Linked DNA regions of Neodiprion lecontei. The protein of the gene in region 1 purifies or fractionates together with the protein of each later gene. This does not show direct contact. Links are inferred from orthologs where the notes say so. Each region holds a gene or a part of one and is shown on either strand. Other genes may lie near its edges.

Region 1 (8,040 bases):
CAACACATGCTGAATAACGTGTGTACGATAACGGACCACGACTCGCTCGAAAAAACACCGAAAAATATAACGCCGAGCACGTGCTTAACGCTTTCGGCGCAACGAGAGTGAGTTTCTTCTTAACCAGGCGGCGCGACGCGATCCACCGATCGTCTGCGAATAACGATGACCCTTTCCTAATCCACGTGAACTCCTGCCTACTGAGGTCTTTCCGCGCAGCTCGCGATGCTTTTGTACCGAGTTACAAATCCAGTTTACCTTTGGATCATTGCGGATTGCCTGTGGAGAATAATATGCCGTTAAAAATTAGGAACGCAAAGATATAAATCAAAATATTAACAATGTAATATAAGATAGGCCACCCAGTAATCAGACATCCAAGGAAGCAAAAACATCATCAGTTTCAATGCTAAAATAATGATATCATCATGTCACTGGGGGCAATCATGATATTTTTTTTTTTTGTAGCAAAAAGAAAAAATATCTCTTTTTTGTCTATATCTGAAAACTCTACAATTACCACAATACAAATTTTTACCTTGTGTGCAGGGTCAACGAGAATGATTTCATAGTATTTGTAGGACGAATCTTGAGCTACCCAGTAGCTGTTCAGCACACGCAGTCCACCACAGCGGCGACCAACACGTTCCTGTAAGAAACATGGTGAGTGAGGTCATTATTGCAAGATTGAATTAATTTTTTCTCTCATATTATTGCAGATTTATAAGTTGATATTGTGACTCTTACTTCAGCAATGGACTGCAGTTTACGTGTGGGCTTCAATTGGTTCACCCCGTGACTTTTTGGCTTACCAAAGGTAGCACCTTTGGGTACAGGGCGTTTACGACCTCCACGACGCACACGGATTCTGAAGATGACAAAGCCTGTAAGAATTTGTAAAACGATATTTTACTAATATTCAATATATTTAAAGATTAAACGAGAGTAGATCAAATACCCAGACCAAACAATGTTATTTAAAACTTTTCATCAGACAGTACATATCCCCACGGTTCAGTAAGAGTGGTGCATGTACAGTTCATCACAGAAAATATAAATTTTAAAGACAGAAATATGAATTTTGTTACATTCAAAAATATAAATTTGCGCAAATACCTTGCTTAGCTTTGTAACCCAAGCGGCGGGCTTTGTCGGGACGAGATGGCCTGGGTGCACGATGCATTTTGGTGAGTTGACGATACTGCCAGCATCTAACTCTAAGCAAGAAACGGAGCACATCGCTCTGCTTCTTACGGTACAGCTCTTGCATATACTTGTATGCACCCATCTTGATTCCCTGGTGTAAGAAAAAAACGTTCTCTTGATAACAGTTCAATTGAACATACGAAAATGATGTCAAATAAGCGGATATTTTTCAGAAAAAACAAGGGTAATTTTTCTCAATTCACTCAGGGTCAGAGTGGTGCATGCCCAATCATCATAAAAATATCGGAAACTACAAAGTTGTACTATTTCCGTACCCAGTCGAACGAAACAACCGTGCACGCGTACGACATGCGTTTCACTGTCAACTTTAGACATACTTAATGATTAATTAAATAAAAATAGACTAGCTAGTGATCAGATCAGATCAGCTTTGACGAAGGTAGTAAAAATATTTTATATCAAGCAAAGAGAAACAATTGCTGTTCGCTGCTTGGTACAGAATATATTTGCCGCTAGCTTTGTACGATTAATTGATACACTTGTGCGCTGGATAACCTAAAAGCACAAACGGAGTAAGACTTTTTGGTATTGCCTTGAGAATTGCAAACTATTACCGAGAGATTGAGGGTAAACGTATAATGGTGCAAAATCGAACGATAGAAGTTCACTGGAAGCTGTGATGTCCTGGATAAATTACGATTATTCAACAATATGTCCGACTCACCCCTTGCAATCCGAAACAGAAAAGGAAAGGACTTGAACTCCATCGTGTAGCGAGGTGCGGACGTTGGACGAGACGGCGCCACTTATCGCCGGCGTACTTTGCGCGCGTTCCAAAAACCATCCAAAATAGCCAGGAATATTTCAATTCTCTAGTCAATTAAGCGGTGTATAAATAATTATATTTGACGCGTTATTTAAATTGACATTTAATGAAGATTTTATCAAAGCTTTATATAATCCAAAAGCTCGTTAAATCTACTTTGTACATTATATATTATACGCAGAATAAATTCGTCGATGCAGCTGTGGGTTGAAAATGAAATCACGGTCGGGGGAAAAACGGGAATTCGGGTTTTGAAATCGTACGGACAAAGGAAATCATTTTCAATCTTTTGCCCAAACAGCAAATTGATGGTTCGTTTTAACGGAGCTATAGAATTCTATCGTACAACATTTTATACAGACACGCCTTGGGTTGGAATGTCTCGATAGTTATCAATCCGGAACAGAGCATTTATTATCTGAAGTGTCATCGCTGGACATGTGCCGCGTGATTATTGGACACTGATTACCAAGTATAATAATTCGAAAAAAAAAGTCTATTTGATAGCTAAATTACAGGGAACTTTATGGCGTTTCAATTCCGTTCTCGGATTTCTCTGAATTCAGTTGAGACTGCGGAATAATGTCGATGTAAGCGAGTTGTACAAAAGCAAAAAGCATGCAATATATGCGCGATCTGTCATTTTGACGTTGCTCATCATCGTGTCATCGCAATAACGCAGCGCATGCGTGTTACGGAGTTGTTTCGAGGTCCCGCGCAAGCGCGGGATATCGGTTTGGAGGGGCGTAGAAAGGAGGCCATATTGTACAGTTAAATTGAAAGGGAGAAAATAATTAATTGTATTATTTTAGACTGGGAACCGTCCAGTCACAGTAATTTTTCAAGTAAACACCCGTGCAGCCTGTCTAAATAATATACCGATCGGTAATCGGTGGTCATCGATAAATCGCTCCTAAAACGACGAGGCTTTTGTAAAATAAATACAGACAGCGACGTCGGAATATTTCTTGCGTATCCGTGATCGGAGGTAGAGGAACAAACGTCGTCGTCGTCCGCAACGAAACCAAGGGAGGAGTTCGTTGCTACCGCGGAGATGGGGACTCGAGACGACGAGTACGATTATTTATTCAAAGGTAATTGTACCCGTTTGAATAATCATAAACTCATAATCGCAACTCGATAATCAAGCGACGGAGCCATAACGCGACTATCCTCTGTCGGTTTGCCAACCTCCGACGAACGCGGCTCGGAACTCCATAGGACTCTTCTCATATAGTCATGTTTCACGCGTTGTTGTATTGTTGCTTGATTTAAGTGACATTGGCACATACGTACGTCACTTGCGTTCTTTCCGTCACGAGGAAACTAACCGTTATCGCTTTTCCGACCGCGAACAGATTATTGTTTGCAGGAACCGCGTTAACGGAATATGTTTGCCACCTTATGAAATTATTTATAGTTTACGCTATTCAAAACGCGGAGATACTCTGCGATCTTTCGACAATATCATTGATGGCATTTATTTGTTCCATTCGCACGAAATATCGAACGTTCCCGAATTACTTTGATTATAAGTTCCCGTTTTGCGTACAACGTACAATAAATAATCATGACGTCAGCAAATATCATTTCTTTTTTACTATTCTTTGTAGTCCTCATTTACGTATAACTCGTAATCAAGTAATGTGACTGTGTCACAACATGACTGAGCCTCCCTCTAGTCTGACTAATGCTTGTGCTCGGCTCTATATGAGTTGCTTTGTTAACAATGACCTTTGTCAAACTTTAGAAAATTATTTTTATGATAATTTTTTCACAGAGATGAAAGTTCAGTTTGAAAAATTTTCTGCACATTTATTTTCCAACACGCTGGTACTGAGAATTTTTGTGACGGAACAGGTTATTGTGCATCTTTTTATCTTTGTTTTGTCCATGTCCAACAGTAGTACTATCGCTATCACACTTGATTTGTTCGTCTGCTCGTAACATGTTTACAGGCTTGTCCTGCCTCCTGCTATACAACGAGCGCGACCTGACACCGAAATAATTTTAATAAATGAGTAAAGAATTCTCGTCGTCGACAATCGCCTACTTACATATATTCGATGTAGAACCCATTGAATCTGTTACCGCACATGCACATATCAACTTTAATTTGCATATATTACTCTATTCATGGCACCGTTTGATTGCAACTGAAATCAATTCTTCTTAGATTCTAGAGTCTAAGAGCACATCTGTAATTGATCGAGATCTCAAGAACTTGAGGTCAATTAATTTCCTTTCATAAGTCAGTACCGAAGAATTAGAACAATTCTGATAGGTAACAGAATGCCATTCGAGTACACGGGGGAAATTAATCAAGGTAATTCCAGTGACAATTGTGTTTGATTACAGTTGTCCTAATCGGAGACTCAGGAGTAGGAAAGAGTAACTTGCTCTCACGCTTCACACGTAATGAGTTCAACCTGGAGTCAAAATCGACCATAGGTGTTGAGTTTGCTACGCGCAGTATAGAAGTAGACAGCAAGACTATCAAAGCTCAAATATGGGACACTGCTGGACAAGAACGTTACCGAGCTATTACCTCAGCGTGCGTATATGATTATGGAATATTTGACTATTGTTCCTTGTGATTGGTCTGTTTGTAATTAATTTGTATTACATGTTGGATGTACGACAGGTACTACCGCGGAGCAGTTGGAGCATTATTGGTCTATGACATAGCAAAACATTTGACGTATGAAAATGTGGAGAGATGGTTGCGAGAACTTCGGGATCACGCAGATCAGAACATAGTGATTATGCTGGTGGGCAACAAATCCGACTTGAGGCACTTACGAGCAGTTCCTACCGACGAGGCTAAGGCATTTGCGGAGAAGAATGGCCTCTCTTTTATCGAAACATCCGCTCTGGATTCGACCAATGTTGAACTCGCTTTCCAGAATATCTTAACAGGTAACATGACAAGAATTCAGTTTCAATTTAATACGAAATTTTGAAAACTTATAATCGTCTTACGTTTCCTTATACATTCTTTCAACTCTTCAGAAATCTACAGAATCGTTTCTCAGAAACAAATTAGAGATCCTCCCGAAGGTGACACTATCCGGCCGCAAAACGTAGAGCCAATCGACGTTAAACCGACGATGAATGCTGACGGAATGCGCAAGCAGTGTTGCCAGTGACTCGCCTTACTGCTTTCTATGTGAGTGGCGCTGTGAAATTGATTCTATTATGGTCATTCGTTATTTAATTATTCTTTATCTGATTAATTTCCAACCATTACCTGACACAAACTATTCAAAAGCTTACATTTTACTAATTTAAGGACGTTTTTCTCCTGTTTCCTCTTACTTTCTGGAGCGTTCTGATATCATTCCAATTTTTCAGAAGCGGTTACATGGTGGGCTGGAGGGAGAGAGTGGTGACTGGTGGTAGGTACAGCGGATGCGTGGTAGGACGCGGACTAAGACTATATTTTCGATCTTGTATAGGTGTAGAAGATCTTTTTTTGGTCTGTTGGTTTAAATGGCAGAAAAAGATTCAATTCTCCCGAAAAAGCGACGTACAAGATAAAGAATTCACCGTGGCCGGCACACCATTCTGCCCTCTATTCAAATTTGTCTTATTTACTACTATACATATACATATATATACACATATATATCTACACTATTATACATATATGTATGTATATATATATATATATTACGTTATGATAATTAAATGTTGTATTACCGCTTCTTTGTAATACATATATAATTATTCTTCTCTACGCATAGTGTGATGATCACGAGTACATATACTATAAACAATTTATAAATAATAACACAATTACAATGATAATTGTGCAGAGCAGACGTCGTAATGAAAATACTAAATATCAATAAAGACGAAACGACGAAGATGGGAATGACTCCATGTTGATCACTACTTGCTCTCGCGCGCACGTAGTAGAATTAAAATAAAATGATACGCGCAAGCACTAAACTGTATGCTTTTCGACTTTATTTTTTACAAACAGCTTCGTGTCCAGAAAAACGTGTGAAATATTAATTTAAAAAATGAAAAAACAAAGGTAAAAAAATAATAAACAATTTCACGTAGACATTTAAATTTAATTTAAGATTGCGACCAGGAAGACATTTTGAGCATGTACAGATAAATGATTGATTGGTTTGATACGCGTGTAGACGCGTTGCAGATTGCGAGAACCATCTTTGTCGTAAAATAGAATGACTTGGAACTGAATGAAATAAATCGAAGCAAAGGCAACAGCGAACAACACGTTGTGGAACTTGAAATGTCTAGGCTTCGCGCACTACACGAGAGATTAACAACTCCTAATTACTATACAAAACATGCTTTAGAAGAAATGAAGGAAAAAAATCTTGAGAAAGAAAAAATTAAAAAATTAAACACACTGTTATGAAAACCTTATGATATGCGTAATTTACTAACCTTATTATTAATTACAATTACATACCTAATTTTTTTTTTCTACACATTTAATTTTATTCATATTGAAATAAAGACGTCTCTTTCGTTGTATCAAATAGAAAACGTCTTAGTGCTGATTGTGGTTTCCTGATTAAATCCATGTAGGTAAATGATAAATTTGCATTTTAGCAATAAAGAATATGAAAACAAAAAAACTTTAACTTATTCTACTAGTTAATGTGAAGTGGCAAAGCTTTATTAAAAAAAAAGAAAAAAAAAAAAAACAATAAAAACCATTGAAACTCGTTCCGTTCGTTTAAAAAATAGATATTTTTTAATCCAATCCCAATTCTTAAAATCCCTCGAAGGAAGTCATCTACCCAACAGAGTAGAAGCAATTTCCATATTTTCGAAAGGGAAAGTGGTGTAAATTGCTTCGATTTTTTCGATTTTCATTCTCATTTTCGTATGAAAATACTGAAGCAGGCATTTGATAAAATAATTATCCAGTGTCATGTCAAATGATGTGACAAAAGACTGTTCAATGCTACAAGGAATAGCGATTGACCAGAAGGATCAGCTAAGATGCCTGCGACACTGAAGCGGGTTCCAGACGAATCGTATTTCTGTTATTATTGCGACGATTTTTCTGACGCCATTCAAGCCACCGTACCAATTCAAGGTTTTGAGTAGCATCGTTTGTCTCTGCACGAGATTCCAGCTGTTGATAATACGCCTCTCTTAATATTCTAAACATTTGTATATTTCTGTACGGTAGCTGTGTCACTGGATCCATATACCGTGCAGGAAGTCTAAAATCATTCAGAAAATATAGTGTATTAGTACCTGATTATTTCAAAGTAATCACCTTCAGGAGTAATACATCAATGTCGAAAGGCCGTAACTTACCTTGTAATTGCACAAAGAGATTTTAGTGAGGGGCGAGGAGCAGGTGTACGTTTGAAAGCTTCCGTAAAAAGTCGTTCGTTTTCAAATGTGATGAAAGTTCTTTCGTATTTAGAACCTGTATCTTCATGAATGATTTGACTTTCAGCTTCATTAGGAGCTGAGCTCGATTCTCCCTTCTGTTTAATAGGTGTATCTTTGTTACCGCCGTCAATAGTTTTTTGTTGATCCATTATTTCTCTGAAAAATAATTTTGAAAGTAGTTAGAACTACGGCAGTTATGGACGTTTTTGTTTTTTATTGCGGTCTGCATATTGCAAAAGGCTTTACACAAATAACGACCAATTTAAGTCTCACTGTTTTTCAGACAAGGGAGGTGATAATCCAGGTTCTAGAATATCACTGGTTGTATTAGTGGTATTTTTTTCATCGTCAGCTTCGACGTTAATTTTTTCCTCATCTTTGTCAGCTTGTGTTTCAGACAGCATCAAAACAGGCATAGACAAAGATTGGTAACGTATAATGGGGCCAACATTTGTCTTTCGCACTGTCCTCGTGTTTTTCTTCTCGTTCTCTAACTTTTGGTATTTTTCTGTCAAAACATGTTAAAAGTATGAGTTGAATAACCATCCATCGGCACAGACAATCATGTCTTTTTACTTGCCAGCAGTATTATTCATTACCTAATGATTTTAAATTTACTTCCTCCGTGATGAGGGCTTCCTCCAACAGTTCTT
Region 2 (6,764 bases), on another chromosome or scaffold:
CTTTTCCGGCGATAAAAAGTGGAGAATTCCTGACGTCCGGATCCACTGACTCATTTACACGCATTTGCACGCCTATTTTATGTATTATATACATGATGTACGTATTTATTAATGTACCGTTAATATGAAGGATAAAATTCTCCTCCACGTCACGCTCACGCATACACTATAGATTATATCTATAATGTATTACATGTATAGTATATTTAAGAATTGTGGAAGCCCAAGTCTCAATTATAAATTCTAGCACACTTATTTCACTTTACTTTTAAAAAATTCGAAATTCGGAATTTTTCTAATGAATCACAAAATTTCAGTGATATTTCTAATTCCAGTTTTTCGCGGAAACTTTTTGCACAAATTATGGAATTTTTGATTTTCAACGTACACTGTACGAAATTTATATGTATATGTGCATTCATACTATATATGATACATACATTCATGTGGTGTCATATGTTCAAAGGCGTACAATAAGGGGAGTTATAGACAGAGTCGAAAGTATCGTGTTTTGATAAGATAAAAAAGAATTGTTCGGTGATTATCTAATTGCCGACACGTTTTGTTATTATCGGTCTATACAGCCTGATGACGTTCAGGCCTTTACAATTATCAAAATAATAAACAGACAGTATTGAACATGATATTTGAACAATGACGTCGATTGAATTCAATTCGCAATTGCTCGTCTTTATTTACGTTGAAATAATTTTATGCTTCCACTTTTTCCTTAATATTTAATTATTCGGTAAATGTTTTATTCAAATTAAGAAAATCATTGGCAATTTTTCGCAATTTTAGAAAAAAAAAATTTCTTCATCAAAACTTAACGGGCTTATTATAAAGACTTGGTAAAAATGTCTGACTAGAAACTTCTTGAAAATCAATCGACGAAGCTGACAACCTAATATACAAATACTTCAGAGATTTTATAGAAAGATTTTGAAAAAATTTCGCATTCTGTAACGTAGGGTTCGACTAAACTGAATAGACAAACTGTATAACATAGTTTGTGCCTAATAACTTTTTACGCACAAAATAATCACCATCGAATAAAAAATTGTCAAAATTGACTCTGCTTTAAATTGTTCTAGGTGTAGTAATGTTCAACGATTGGTTACGCGCGGCTCACTATTTTTTTTTTTTTTTTGGTAAAAAAAAAATTGAACAAGTTTTACTTTCTAGACAAATTTACGTGCCAATGACCGATGAGGCAAAACTTAAAACTTATATAGAAAGAAAACTCGTTTAAATTTTCATTCCAAATAAATAGTGAGCCAACAGTAACATTCGTCAATGCCTTAACCTCCCGGCTAACTTGTTTTCGGTCCGAAACAAAACTGCGATTTCGATTCTACACGACTTACGTGACAATGACTCCCAATCACTCGCGTCGGCGGCATCGCCAGTCATTGTCACATAATTCGTATAGAAACGAACTCGCATTTTTTTTCGGACCGAAAACAAGTTAGCCGGAAAGTTGAGGCATCGACGAATATTACTGTACGTAGTCCCTTAATTTTTTTAATTGTGCGCGTGTTAGAGCATGCCGACGAAAGAACAAACCTAGGATTCGTCTGGGATCGTCGGAAAATAGGCTCGCTCAGTTGTTCAAGCAGGAATCGATAGTCCCGTGAATCCATCCCCGAGTCGCCGGTGCGGGCGCGACCCCCGTTGAAAATTCGCGGAGGAACAGATCGAGGTCAAGTTTTCTATGCGTCTATCTACGAATACGGATTTCATGATCCGCACGTTTTTTCTTTACGATATATATTCGAGATTCAAAATATTCGTCTGATTATTTCCTACAGATTAGAAAAAAAAAAGAACAAAAAAAAAGAACGGAATTCTCTCAGTTTGGTTTATTATTCTTAAGTGTATTCCAAAAAATTACCAGGATTCGAACACTTCGTGTGCACAGTAATAATCAGATACCTTTCCGAACGTTTTCATACATTTTCAGCCTTTCAAAATAAGATTTGAAAGAGAAAATGTTTTGGTTTTTTTTTTTTTTTCATAAAAAAATATAACACTGATTATAATTCGTCACGTGCGATGATGGACATTATTTTTATGGAAAATTTGCAGAATCAACTGTGCTCACTTCAGAATTTTAAATAATTTACGAATATTTTATGCGTCTTTAAAATAAAATTATTTACAATTTATACATATATGAAAATCTTCTGAATTAAATTTCTGATAATACCGCAAAGAAATATTCTTTTAATTTTTAGGATCGTTTGAAATTTATTTCGAAGTGATGAAAGTTTTGTGAGTTTATCGAATCATTTACCAATTGTTGACAAAGATTGTTGAAAAAACATTTTCACCAGGGGATTGCTTCAAATCGTCGGAAATTTTCAAACACAGCTAAATAAGTTTGGATGTCCCAATTAAGTCGATACAATTATTGTTAACCTGACATTGAATGCGTTTCGCAGAATACGCGTTTGCGAAATTTAAATGATAATGTTTTACATCAAATTTGAAGACGGTTAAAATAACCATGTTCGACATCGGTGTAAGACTGGTTTATTTATTCTTCATCCTAGATTCCAGAATACCAAAGCTCTGAATGGACGAAAAAGCTCTCGCGTCAAAAACGTCAATAACTCATCTGGGTCACACTTTCCTCTTTAATTTCGTGGAAATAGTTGGTGGAAGAAAACGAGATTTAATGAAAACTATCTATAAGGTTACAGTTATGTTTTTCGAAGTATAGAAATAAATTTATTGTAAAAAGAAGCAGGAGAAAAATGTAATGAAATAAATGTTAGCCATATCTTTTGTCCTCTCCTTTTCAAATATTTATTTACTACCTATTAAAACTGCTGAATTTCATTTCACAATTATGCATTTTTGTATTAAAAATTGATCACTTTTCCAAACACTCTGTAGTTTTATAAAAAGCAAGCTTCTTCAAAAACCTACCTTGACATTTTTGTCAAAATTCGTTATAATACTTTAACATCATCAATGGGTATTGTAGATTGATTCCGTAGATATTTTTAGTACAAATTCCAATTCCAATTTCTTGAAAAAATTTACACCGTATTTCGGATCCTGGACAATGGAAAATAATTGAACACCACAAAAATGCAAGAATGAATCAGATCCTTGTTAAAATATAGTATGAAATAGATTTCAAATATTCTCAAGCTGCAATTGAATCGACCAGCTGCGTAATCAAGGCATTGGTCAGAACATATCAATACAATGACTAATTGCGAGCGATATATTATTTTCCAATCGGTGGACGATGAGCGGAAATATGGATCGCCCAATTGAGCCTAACTCAGAATTATAAACGATAACAACAATAAGCGTGTAGAGAAAATAATTTCGGAGCAAATCGATATCGCAGCTTTCCTCGCGAATTGCACCTAGGTAAACATCTCGTCATAATATGCGGGAGTATAATTCGGCCGGCCAGCTGTGTGTGCAAATTCGAATTTTCTGTCTTTCGACCGGTTCCGGTTTTATTTCTGTTGTTCCACGGAGACTGCGAGAGTTAAACGCGTCAGTCGATCGTGTCGACAAGACGAATTTGTTTTTCTCATATTCCGAAAACCGTGTTCAAAAGTCGAGGATGAAAGTGTACGGGCGTGTGCGAATGCGATGAGAAACAAGCGAACAACGAGAAACCTAAGAAATATATGAATTGATCGATTAATTTTGCATCCGCGAATTCGATCCACCGTTTACCTTAACGTATAATTCCCTTGTCGTCATGGTGGCGATGGATAAGAGTCCAATTTCCGTTGCTGATTCTCACTAAATTCCATTAATCCCTTGTGTATCCTCCGCGTAAAGAGCGTCACAACATTTTGGAGCGCGAAGGTTTCGTTCCGAGTTCTTTAACACGTACAAAATCGACACCGATTCTATCGCGACTCACTATCAGCCTTCGGATGGCTTGCGACTCACAGCTGGGCTTGTGGCTTACTATCGGTTGGCATTGTACGCCTCATGCTCTCCCCACTTCCTCCATTCCTCTCCTTTCCTTACCCCCCCCCACAGTAGCCTGGTTTCACACAGGTGATGAACCTATCTACAGCGACAGGTGTCGCGATCTGTTTTGACTCTGCCGAAGTCGATTGGGTCCAGAACGCGTCGATATGGACTCCAGCGACAACAGACGTTGGGTGTATCGACTTGCATTGGTGCAGGAAAATGCAGGAATCTGTCGAAGTATTCTTACAAGATACGATTAGCACGAAAACTTTTCTTTGTTGCGTATTTTCATCACACATTTCGTTCTGTTCTTTCCCATTTTTATTCGACATTTTTTTATTTTCGACAATCCTGGACATACCTATGTATCATGTTACTTCGGAACTAAGGTGTCATTTGGTGGCAGTGAATATGCAACACTAATTGTGATGGTGTCGTAATTAGTGTATTTGAAAGTGTTTTTTCACCGTATGTTTTTCTCTATGTCGATTTAGCGACTTAAAATCAGAGTCGAACAACTTAAACGACGTTTTCTGCGCTCCGTTTAATTAGCCTCAAATTATCAGCTGATCGCTCGACGCGACGCCATATTGTTCTAAACCGAATATCCCAATAATAGCAATTTTCGAGCGATCAAAAAATGAAGGAAAGAAAATTTTACCGACAAACTTGATTAACTCAACTTTTGTATACAATATACAATAATCACTAAGCTGCAACCAAAACATCTGTCGTGTCAATATTCAATTTGTTTTTTTATTGACAAACTTGAACGCGATTCATTACACGTTTCATACCTACATCTCGATATTATAAATGTTAAATAGGTACACACGCAATGATGAATAAAATAACCGAGAATATGATGGCAATTGTTTATCGAAATAGAGTAGAGTGGATCTGATTTACAGGTGTATAATTCATTAAATGTCATTGATTAACCTCACTTCAGTTAATTTTCTAGCAGTAATAATCGGATAAAATCATGTCTGAGCAATAGTGAATTGTATAATAGATAAATACGTATTGGAAGTGAATCGTGTGACTTGAAAAATGGCTTTCTTTCAATTGACTTTGAAAGCTAGGCGGCTTGAGCAAATGAAACTTCTGTATCAGGATGAGAAAATGAGATCTATAGAAGTTTCTAAAGGAGCCAAGATCCATTACACATTTAGGCAGAAGATTCGTTACAAAAAGAAACTGTATGTTATCAAGTCTAATATGCCGAGTAAATATTTGGTTATTTTTATTAGTCACGATTTGTCAATCGTCCCAAGAAATTGAGTCACTCGAGATTAAAGTCCAAGACATCGGTAGGAAAAAAACCCAAACAGAAAGAGGGAGCATTGGACAGCTTGGACTTTACTGTGATCAAGCAGCTCTTCTTCATTGTTATATGTGTATATGATTTTTGGAAGCAGAGTTACCAGTTGCTTTGCATTGGAAACCGCCGTTTTACGAAATTATCCACTCTGATTCAAAGTCAATTCGTCGTGGGTTCGTCAAAAATGTTAAAAAAAAAACGGCGGAATCTCCAGCTGCTTTTCCAATGCTTCCTCGGTCAATGCATTTTTTTGTCGATTTATTGGACTTTAACCCTGCTGCTATGATCTATTGCGACGATAGCAAATTTAAAAAAATGTTCTTCCCGCCTCAGAAATGTATTTTTTCCCTGCACAAATCCAATTCATTAGCATTCAGCTAACGAAATCTGTGCAAAAACAAATTTGCATACTTTCGATAGGAATCGGTGATTTCTTTTTTCTGATTTCTAGCCTGATATTAAGATTCAAAAATTGGCTGAAAAGTTTGGCATCTTGTCCAAAGGATTCTTGGTTTCACGAAAAGGCAGTTTTACTGCGAACGGATGGAACGTTTGAAAATTACGTCCTCAAAAGCGTTCTCGGATTTCTTGGTGGAATATTCCTCACCTACATGTTCTTCATGTTTTTCATATTCCAATTGAACTTCACCCTGTCATCCGCAACGCTGTTCAGCTCATTTTTGGGGATTATTCTAACCATCGGCTTGGCGTTTTCCAACCGTGTCAGGTATTCGAACTATATTTTTTCTCGTGGTATTGGGATATTTGATGCTGGCCGCAGGGTTAATCACTCGTGAAATCTGGTGTAAACTTTTCCGGAAATCATGTGAAATTTCCTGAAATCTTCTGAATTCTCTGGAAAACTTTTAAAATCGTCTGAAATCTCTTGAAATCTGTTGAAACTTCGGAGATTTTCCTTTGAAAAAATTCTCTGAAATCCCACGAAGTCTCTTGTAATCTTTTATAATCTATGATTTTATTCCGATTACTGTCATATGATTCGAATACTTTTGGTAATTTGATACAAATTTTACAGAATTTCGCTGTTCCAAATATTTTCCAGTTAGAAAATTAAAAGTAAAGATCATTATCACTTTGATAAATGATCAAAGGATAGTATGAACACGCTATAGAACTCAGCTTCTTGACGTTTCGAACTACAATTTAACGTTGAAACCCACCGTTTATAACAGATGTGTAGTGTTCCTACTCCTGCCGCAATTCTTCTCGAAACGTGGACGCCAAGCCCTTATGGCCTACGCTTTCATACTGGCATTAACTGGTCCAGCAAAAAATACGTTAAACAACATGGGTGTATTATCGGAATCGCTGGCTTGCGGACAAGTAATCAATAATAATTATAGTTTTAAATTACTTACACAACTTGTTTTACCGAAGAACGGGGAAAAATAGTGATAAGAAAAGAATAATTCCCGTACTGTTTTCGAAATGCATGCAATATAAAAAAAAAGACTCCACAGAA
Region 3 (9,347 bases), about 35 Mb from region 1:
CGTATTACTACTTCCACTTTCAGCTAAGTTTGTTAATTCGGAATTAAGTAGTTTTTGATTAATGTTAGAACTGTCTTGGCTCCCAATCTGGTCAAAATTTTTCTCTTCACATAAACCCCTCGGCCAAAATAAATGGCTATTCTGTTTGATACACCTTAGGAAGTCATTGCAATCCATTTGGGAAATTGTAACAGAAGGAGGTGGGGGAACACCACTTAATGCTTCATGAATTCTGTTTAGTAGTTCACTGTCTGATTTTGCTACCAAGTCTGCCTGGCATATTTCGCTATCTTCATGTTTTATGTCCAATTGATCGATGTCTGTAACTAACAAAGCTCGATTGTTTACACGATTTAAATAAGAAAAAATACAATTGTTTCGTAATCCGTACAACTATAAGATACTCATATAATACCTGAATTGCTTTTTGGGGCATCTTCGGTATCGCTTCCAAACATATCAGGACTCGGGGCCTCATCAATTACTTCAGAATTTTTATAAGCCTCATTTGACTCTGTGTATACACAATCCATAGCATCTTCACTCATGTAGACCACTTTGGTCTTAACTTCGGAGGTACTGTTAGTCGTCAACAAATCACTAGCGCTTTTATTCGACATTCCTAAAATTCAGTATTGAACACGTATCTAATCTATGAAAAGTGAGTAATGAAAGAATGATTAAAAAAATGTTTATTAGGAAAAGAGATGGATTGAAAATAATTGGTTACTAGTAACAGATTTTTCCTTAAAATGATCATGTTAGTTCAATATCAATATAACACCTAATAAAACCAATGATAAAACCAACAACCATGTATAAATTATATACGAAATAAGTCAAAATGTATTTATTTTGAAATCTAAATTCTATGGACCGATCAGTATTAATTATAAATAATGAGCAGAAATATTGACTCGATGAATTACTTGATAGATTAACTGAAAACATGTAAAACATTAAATGTTACTGTTGCGTGTCTTGGTTTCAATTTTTTTTTTTTATGTTATTTATTATCCTTAAATACAATGTTTTACGATGGCTATAAATATGGTAGAAAGACACTAAATAATTGACTAATATTCCATTTCCTGAAGGTTTTTAAGAATTAAAAATACACCTTATATGTCACGGAGTTACCTATATGCATGTTTTCTGAAATTCTCGAAATGATTTTTTGAAATTGAGATTTCTCTTGACATTTCCAGGTTCTTGAAATTTTTATCTGTTTATATAAATCTTCACATATGTTATTGATCTCTGGTGAAGATAAAGATTAGACCTGTTTTGATTTCTTATTTTTTCACTCAAGGGTAGTTTTGAGGGCATCAGCACAATCGTTATGAGAGAAAGAGTAAAAAACCGAATTTTGTTAAGGACTTACAGTTATGGCCAGTATTTTCATGACTTATGAGAAAAAAAAATCAAAATGAGTGGAACTAAAAATCCCTCAGATTTATGTGATTGGAATAGTACTTGTACTTACCCAACGTCGATGGACTCAACGCAAGGTCATCTTCTAAGATAGAAGTACCATTGCAAGGAGCTGAGTTGTCAATGTCTCCCATTATTTGCTCTAATGCTACAGCGTGCATGTTAAAGTTAGTTGTCAATCATTCGACAATATGACATCTTTTCAAAGACAGTCAGGATATTTATAATATAGAAGCAATTCGATGTTGTCTGTAAATATTTCAATCACTTGATTAGGAAGGATCTAGAAATTGGACTACTCCATAAGTTGTGTTACGTAAAAAAATAACTGCTCATATTTTGCATTCGCTAATATGGACGGGTCAAGAGCATACTTCGCTCAAAAATTTATTAATCGATGTATTGTGTCTATGCCCAGGAACGGTAGAGGACCACAACTCGGCATACTAGGTTTGCACATTTTATTCATATGAATAAAATAAATCCTTTACTAACCTCTATGACGAACGATGATGATAAGGTGGAGTTGATTTAAGAACGGTGAATCATCACCTACCATATTTTATTACCCAGCAGATTGGCTCTGTAAACATTGACACATCAAGGAATACCCTACGATGAAAGCAATTGTACTGAAGGTTACAAGATATGTTTAGTAAAATTGTATGTTATTCTATGAGGTGATATACACGTTAAGGGTTGTTGACTCGCGAGGGGCTGCATGCTTGAAGAAAAAGTGTCATACCGTAATTTAGAGAGATTTTAGATCGCGACACACCGATAATGATTGAAAATAGTTCAACAAACAATTAAAACATCATTTGTCGACAATATGAATACGTCATATTGTTCAGATAGTATGCGAAACTCAAAATCAACATCTCACACCTCTTCCAGTCAAACGACGATACCTTCATAACGTAAAAATATTTCTAAGCGAGACGTGTTATTTTCTTTATGTTCCACTCACACTACGGAGTAAACTCACACACTCACCATCAACCCAGGTGCCAGAGATACCAGATTACGACTTACGACCTCTTACGAGCCGTGGTCAGACTGTCACGATCGTAAGTCAAGTGATGAAAGCCTTGAAAGTTTACTAACTGCTACCTGGTGGAATTTCCTGGAACTTCTCATGCTCCCGTCTGGCTCTCGCTAGATTTCAAACTAAAATCGGTAAAAGAGGATTTCTGATTACATTTGACACCACTTTGACACTGACATGACACTGACATCAACTTGTCTAACCTTTTAACCAACCTAATCTAACCCGAGCTGACATATTCTGGAATCGTGGGGCGGTTTGACAGATAAACCTGATCTTGACCACAAAAATAAGCACAAAATAAGGAATTGATTGGAGACAATTGTCTGATTCATCTGAAATTATTTTCAATGCAGATATGGGACCACCGCCAGTAGTTACAGGGATATCGCCGAAGGAAGGACCACCAGGAACGCGAGTGACGTTGAGGGGCGAGTTTTTAGGAGCAAAAGCGCAGGACCTGATAGGTTAGATTGAACTGTCACTGTTGAAAATATTGGCATTAATTGTAAAAGTCAACTATTGAAAATTGAATCCAGGTATACACATGCTGTACATTTTCCAAAAAATCATCCTATTACAGGTTTGACCATCTGCGGATGCGAGTGTCTTTTGTCAGCTGAATGGAAGTCCCCAAACAAAATCATCGCCCGCTCTGGACCAGGTAAAGGGCGAGGTGATATTATAGTCACAACAAGAAATGGAGGCCAGGGTACTTCGACCGTCCAATTTCGTGGCTATCACGAAACCATTGGACCCATGAAAGAATCTGCTGTATGGGTTGAAGAAGCACCAATGCAGAGCTTGGTATGGGGAAGACGAGCTCTGTCACCTACTAATTATCAGCAAGAGGATCCGTTAGGACTCAGCGTCGAAGGAAATGAGTTAGGAAATGTTCTGCATTCAAGATTACTGCAATAGTAACGAAGCAAGATCTAATCAGAATATATTGTTTTCAGTAAGAAATTTCCTGAGGATGAATTAATTGAGCTATTTGGCGATGGTAGCGGTGAATTGGCCAGTGAGAAGTTTCACCCAGGCTGGTTTTTATTACAACATCATCATGCTACCACCCTAGATGATCTTAAAGCAGGATTAGCTTATCTCAGACGCAAAGTTCACTCACAGAAAGAGGGCCAATTATCTTTTCTCAAGGTGAAACAGGACAATTTCACATCACACAGATACTTTTTGATTCGTTCAACATTCGATCTTCTGATTTACACTTTTGTTTAATTTTCTTCTCCAACAAGTAATTTGTTGATCTTTTTATTTATTTATAGGCGAATGTTGGTTCGGTGATGGAGCAATTAGATACAATTATGCTACTGAAGGAACAGTTTGAGTCAGATGTTCAAAAAAATGGCAAAGATCCAACAGCGAAACTTGAAAAAGCTATCAAAGATTCAATGGCTGAAGCTGACAAACTATTTCATGATGTCTTGGCTCGAAGAGATAAAGCGGATGCGACAAGGAATGCCTTATCTTTGATGCAACGCTACCGATTTTTGTTCTGTATGCCAGTAAACATTGAAAAGAATATAAAGGGAGGGAATTATGAGTTGGTAATCAATGATTATGCCAGAGTGAAGAATCTATTTGGTAATACTGAGTTGGAAGTTTTTAAAAAAGTATTAAACGAAATTGAAGTTAGAATTGGAAAACTTAGAACTGTGCTCCGAAAAAAATTAGAAGAAATGCCGGTCACTTTGGATGAGCAGAAAAAGATCATAAGAAATTTAGTAAACCTCGCAGCTGAAGGTGATCCAGCATGGGATGCGATAGGTATGCACTATTAAATATATGTGAAATTTCAATAGGAAAGTTCATGAACCAGGGCATCACGGGTCAGTCAAGTACATTAGTATTCTATACAGGTTGAAATTCTTTGTGATGTACTGCAATGGTGTATGTTTGTATTTCAGCATCACATGCTCATTATTTAGAAAAAAGTGTGACAGCTTGTATAAACGAGTATTTAGAATCTGAAAACGCTGGTGGTGATGATTCGAGTAAAACCCCAAAGTCAAACGGCTTAACGCCAACCTCGGTCAAACAATTGAGAATGCAACAAAACGAGGAAAATAATGTTCCACCACAGGTTCTATGTGTTGAAGCTATTTGTGATGTAGTCACAGAGCAATTACCAGACTTATGGCGCTTAGGACAGAGTTATTTTACAGGACAATTACACGTAACTGTTGATATAGAAAAACAAATCCCCTTCAAAGTGAGTATTCAAATAATGACTCAGGAAATGCTGTTGACTTTCTAATTTAAACCTTAATACTTGGTATACTTTTTCATTTTAATGCTGAGAAAAAAAATGTTCCATATAAGGTTTTTCATATAGTATGCATGTAATTCGATTTTACACACTGCATCGAAAAGTGCCATTTTATGCACTAATAGTAGTGCTTAAAATCGAATTATTCTACATATACTATGTCAAAAAAGTATCATATGTAACACATGCCTACATTTTACATAATTGTGCCATAATATACTATTTCGATATTTTAGAGCCTGGTTCTATCTAGTATGCAACATGCAGTGGATGCAATGAAAACAGCCTGTGGGACAAACTTGGATGCATCTTGGCTTCTTCATAACTTGAGACGTATCCGACAAACGTATGCGTCTTTAATTCATTTGGATTTACCCAGTGAGGCCTTAGACATATTTGGCAAATACTTATTTGATCTTAGGTAGGTATTCTAATGTATTTGATAGTTTCAAAATGTGAATTAATATGATTTAAAGTGAATAATAAAACATTTGCGTTCAATTCAGGTTACAGTGCTTGGTGGCATTGTTCAAGCAAACCGCAGACAAAATAACTGCCTTACATCGTAAGGAAACATGGAAAATTGAATATCTGAATGAACACGGAGGAGTAACACGACTGGTAATACACTCCGGCACTACATATTTCAAGAGAAATATTCAGTTTATTTATGTTTGACTTACCTTGAATAGCCAGGTCTTTTTGAAGAAATGGTACTGGAAGTGTCAAAACTCGCTCGAGAAACAGTAATAGCTTGTGGACCTCGAGAACTCCCTTTGCTAGCGCATACTAGTCATCAAACTCTGTTTCATAATGCAGTAAAAACACTATTCACTGCTTTTGCAAAATGCTTACAACAGCTGGCTTTCAGTGGAAGTGAAGAAGCTATGGACGATGATGAATCCTCAGTATCACAACTGATTGGTTCTCCAGTTGGCTATAGAACTAGAGACAAGCAACAAGGGCCAGTGAGAATTTACTTTGAATATTTTCATTGCTAGTTACTGTTTTCAATAAACGCTACCAACCGAATTATCACACTTCCTACAGACATGGGAGCAGTGTTTACTAATATCACTGAGTAACATTCGTTATACTCTGAATACAATAATACCACATGTTAATGATGCACTGAAGCAGCATGGTTATCCGCCCTTGTCTTTAACCATGAGTTCGAATACCGATTGGACTCAATTGGATACATTGGATAGTGCCGTATTAGACGCATATTTGGAACGACGCTGTGATCCCCTTGTCGGTACCATAGAACCAAGTATGTACCTAGGTGGTCTAGAATGGCATTTGGACATTGAGCCCTCACACGTGAGGCCTTACGTACAAGAGGCTTTGACTAATCTGATCGCAGTTCATGCAGAGGTATTTACGTTGTTTTCATGTGAAAATATTAAAATTACAGATAATTTGGATTCATTTTATAGTTGTAATTTCATGAAACAGGTACGACGGGTTTCACCAGGTTTATTGAAGAGAGTTTTATCACACATTGTTGAAACAGTTGCTGAAGAATTAGCACGGCTGATGTCTTGTGTAACTCGTTTTAGTCCTTCAGGAGCTGTTCAAGCTAGAGTCGATATTACGTTACTGACAAGTGCTGTCCACTCTTATATTACTCCGAGAGCTGGGTAAATCTTGGTCTTTCTTTTTTGAATCCCAACCGAAGCCCTATTTGTATCAGATTCAAATAAATTTGTGGCACTGATTCGCTTGGGTAGAAATCTGAAGCATAATGAAAATACAACATTTTTCCTACAGGAGCTTTTTCGAAGAAGCATTGGATGCGATTTCTGAACCAGTCTGTAAAGAGGACTCGCAAAAAGTCGACGCTCTATTGCGCAAAGTAGCTTCCTCCATGCGCCTACAACTTGCATGTCTTGCTGACGATTCAGCAGACGGCATTATTCTGAAGGGATCCGATCCAAATCGTGCGACAACAGTTTAACTTCCATTTGGAAATTTGGTAACCACTTTTCCTTCAGTTTATATGATTGACAAATTTTTTTACCAACTTACATGACTCCGCATAATCCCTTCTTATCAAGACAAATAACGTGCTATTAAGTACAAGTGGGATTTACTATTGAGTAAATTGTGCACGATTCACAATATATTTCATGGATTCTTCAAACAGTTTGAAATAGTAGTATAATTATTTATATTTTGTAAAATACAGAGACACAGAACTGTTAGACATACATTTGTTTGCTATGCGACAGCTTCCCATACATAGAAAAACTTGCAGATTATTAGGATGGTGTAAAACTATGTACATACATACAATTTCCACTCACGAAAAATGAATCTTTACGTGGTCTCTTCAACGACTTGCAAGATTCCGGTAGTTCCAGTTAGTAATACTATATCACCTGTAAATAGGAGTGGATAATATAGTTTACAAAAAAAAAAGGAAGCAGTAAAGTTTTGTTTTAGTGTCTATACCTGATATTACGAATAATACTAAGCATCACGATAACTGACTATGATCAGAGTTATAAATACATATTGTAAATACGACTAATATTGCATAGCGAAAATAAGAAAAATAACACAAATAAATATCAGAGAAAACAATTTGGAACATGCTTTTTTCATCACAAACACAAAATTATATTTATGTAGAGCTTGCTTTATTTCACATATTTATATCTGTTTAAATCAGGGATAAAACAAGGGCTATTGCAGGTTTTGTTAAAAATGATAGTTACGAATTGAATAAGTGTACTACTACTCTTTTTGTTTTTGTGTAGATGTTTTGATTCATACATACCTGTACGAAATTTTTGTGTAGCTCCTTCAGCACCAACAATACACGGTAAACCATATTCTCTCGCTACAACAGCTCCATGACTAATGAGACCTCCAAGTTCAGTGACCACACCACCCAATATTGGAAAATAGGGACTCCAACCAATATCGGTGCACTGTGTTATTAATATATCACCAGGTTTCAGTTGTACAGCATCATTTATATTAGTGATAATGCAAGCACGACCTAGGACTGTCCCTCCACCGACTGGTGTTCCTGATACCCGAGCACCTCCCTCACGAATTTTTGTACTGGGCTCTGCCTAAATAGAACAAATATTTTTATAAATATTTAATAGTGTTAAGATTACCATATACGTACAGATTAGACATTACAAAAAAAAATTGGAGGATACCACTTTCTTAATTGTTGTGAACTGATATTATACAGGAAATACTTTTCACTTACCAGTATAGGTTTTAATACACCTCTATTCACTTCCGGGAACTGAATTTTGTCACAGTGAGGATAAAGTCTTTGTCTTCTTATCGCTCTAAAAAACAATTTTTTGTTTTTCAAATTAACCTTATGCTCAGTAATGAATAAGCAAAATACTCACTTTTGCACTAATGTTGGATTTGAACTAATAAATAACAGACCAATTTCCTGATGGGTAAGAAAGAATATCAAATTCATGTCAGGTAGTTGGCCATCCTCGACCATTAGTCTACCAAGTTTTTGGTATCCTAATCTCAAAGCATTGACTGTGGAAACTAAAACAGCTTTTGTCAATTCTCTGCGACTAACGGCACTCCTGTTAAGTGGTATCAGCATCTCCAATATCTTTTTTGTGACTCGACTTTTCGGCGTGCGTAATCGATCTACAGTTTCGGCTACACTTAATTCTTTAAATACTGGTGGCTCTCCTGATGATGCTACGGCTGCCTGTTTTTAGCCAGTGACAGAATAAATAAATATCAAAATATTTTAGTCTTATGTTGAAAGTAATATTTTTTGAGAATCTCGTTGTATTTATGACTTACTTGAAGTGAGGATATTAGTTTCTCAGGCTTCATATCCCATGTTTCAGTCATCAAATCTAATTCTCTTATGCACCTGTATCCGTGTTCTTTCAAAAAATCATCAAACATGACTGCAGCTGCAGTGCAATTCAGCGTTAACCAATCTCTAGCTTCTTTTGGATCTAGCTTAACAAATTCTTCAGCTTTTTCACCATTCCTTATTGTATTAGCAAGGTTACGTAGAGCTGTGGGAACTTGAGCACTCACTACATCACTACAGGAACTTAGGAATATGCCTACATCTGAATAGTGGTTGATATTCAAATTTGGAGCACCTTCTGTCAACACTGACATTGCAACAATTTGACAGAATACACTCACTTTTGATGTATGAGCGTGATATATTGATGCCTACATCAAAGAGAACACAAAGTAGCAGTTTTTTGTAAATATTAGATGATGGAAGCAGCAAGCAGCAAAGTTATGACGTTCACAATTTTTTCTAATTTTTTGGTCAATAATGGAACACATGTCTGTAGTAGAAATTATGAGTATGTAAATAATGATTAAATATAAGAGTATAGGTACCTGAAGCAATTTCTCTAAACTATCATCGAGATCTTTATAAAGATGTTCCGCCCTTACGTAGGACTCAACATCAAACTTGAAGTTTGCGTGAAATTTCTTAGCCAGTTGTTCTATGTTTCCATTGACCCAAGTATCTCTTATTATGGCTTTATACAACTTCAGTTTACTCTTTATTCCCTGAATTCCATTTCTTTTCACAGCCCA

Evidence for each region. Proteins that work in one complex are often made in the same cells at the same time.
Region 2: the proteins of ras-related protein Rab-11A (region 1) and unconventional myosin-Va purify together in Drosophila melanogaster (affinity purification with western blotting; 4 studies listed by BioGRID, with this or other methods). This does not show direct contact. The link is inferred for Neodiprion lecontei from reciprocal best matches to the Drosophila melanogaster genes Rab11 and didum.
Region 3: the proteins of ras-related protein Rab-11A (region 1) and exocyst complex component 2 purify together in Drosophila melanogaster (affinity purification with western blotting, with the first as the bait; 3 studies listed by BioGRID). This does not show direct contact. The link is inferred for Neodiprion lecontei from reciprocal best matches to the Drosophila melanogaster genes Rab11 and Sec5.

What each region holds. Positions count from the first base shown.
Region 1 is NC_060260.1:921,363-929,402, reverse strand, and holds ras-related protein Rab-11A, read left to right. Parts: upstream 1-2,733; 5' UTR 2,734-3,047; coding exon 3,048-3,087; intron 3,088-4,351; coding exon 4,352-4,547; intron 4,548-4,637; coding exon 4,638-4,912; intron 4,913-5,005; coding exon 5,006-5,142; 3' UTR 5,143-5,162; intron 5,163-5,347; exon of another isoform or gene 5,348-5,350; 3' UTR 5,351-6,397; downstream 6,398-8,040. Other genes in the region: 60S ribosomal protein L15, read right to left, coding at 85-279, 539-649, 748-884, 1,117-1,297, 1,892-2,011; vacuolar protein sorting-associated protein 72 homolog, read right to left, coding at 6,978-7,209, 7,307-7,543, 7,661-7,895, 7,987-8,040.
Region 2 is NC_060261.1:12,491,453-12,498,216, forward strand, and holds the start of unconventional myosin-Va, read right to left. Parts: upstream 3,965-6,764; 5' UTR 3,736-3,964; coding exon 3,709-3,735; intron 1-3,708. Other genes in the region: DC-STAMP domain-containing protein 2-like, read left to right, coding at 5,056-5,159, 5,733-6,008, 6,475-6,625.
Region 3 is NC_060260.1:36,126,365-36,135,711, reverse strand, and holds exocyst complex component 2, read left to right. Parts: upstream 1-2,629; 5' UTR 2,630-2,840; coding exon 2,841-2,949; intron 2,950-3,065; coding exon 3,066-3,366; intron 3,367-3,441; coding exon 3,442-3,637; intron 3,638-3,765; coding exon 3,766-4,267; intron 4,268-4,407; coding exon 4,408-4,712; intron 4,713-5,005; coding exon 5,006-5,190; intron 5,191-5,275; coding exon 5,276-5,390; intron 5,391-5,461; coding exon 5,462-5,737; intron 5,738-5,819; coding exon 5,820-6,146; intron 6,147-6,208; coding exon of another isoform or gene 6,209-6,214; exon of another isoform or gene 6,215-6,227; coding exon 6,228-6,412; intron 6,413-6,542; coding exon 6,543-6,729; 3' UTR 6,730-6,747; exon of another isoform or gene 6,748-7,091; coding exon of another isoform or gene 7,092-7,153; exon of another isoform or gene 7,154-7,268; intron 7,269-7,554; coding exon of another isoform or gene 7,555-7,855; 3' UTR 7,856-7,883; downstream 7,884-9,347. Other genes in the region: uncharacterized protein LOC107225718, read right to left, coding at 1-326, 416-622, 1,487-1,595; uncharacterized protein LOC107225708, read right to left, coding at 7,092-7,153, 7,555-7,855, 8,002-8,086, 8,153-8,478, 8,577-8,966, 9,144-9,347. UniProt on the Drosophila melanogaster protein: Component of the exocyst complex involved in the docking of exocytic vesicles with fusion sites on the plasma membrane.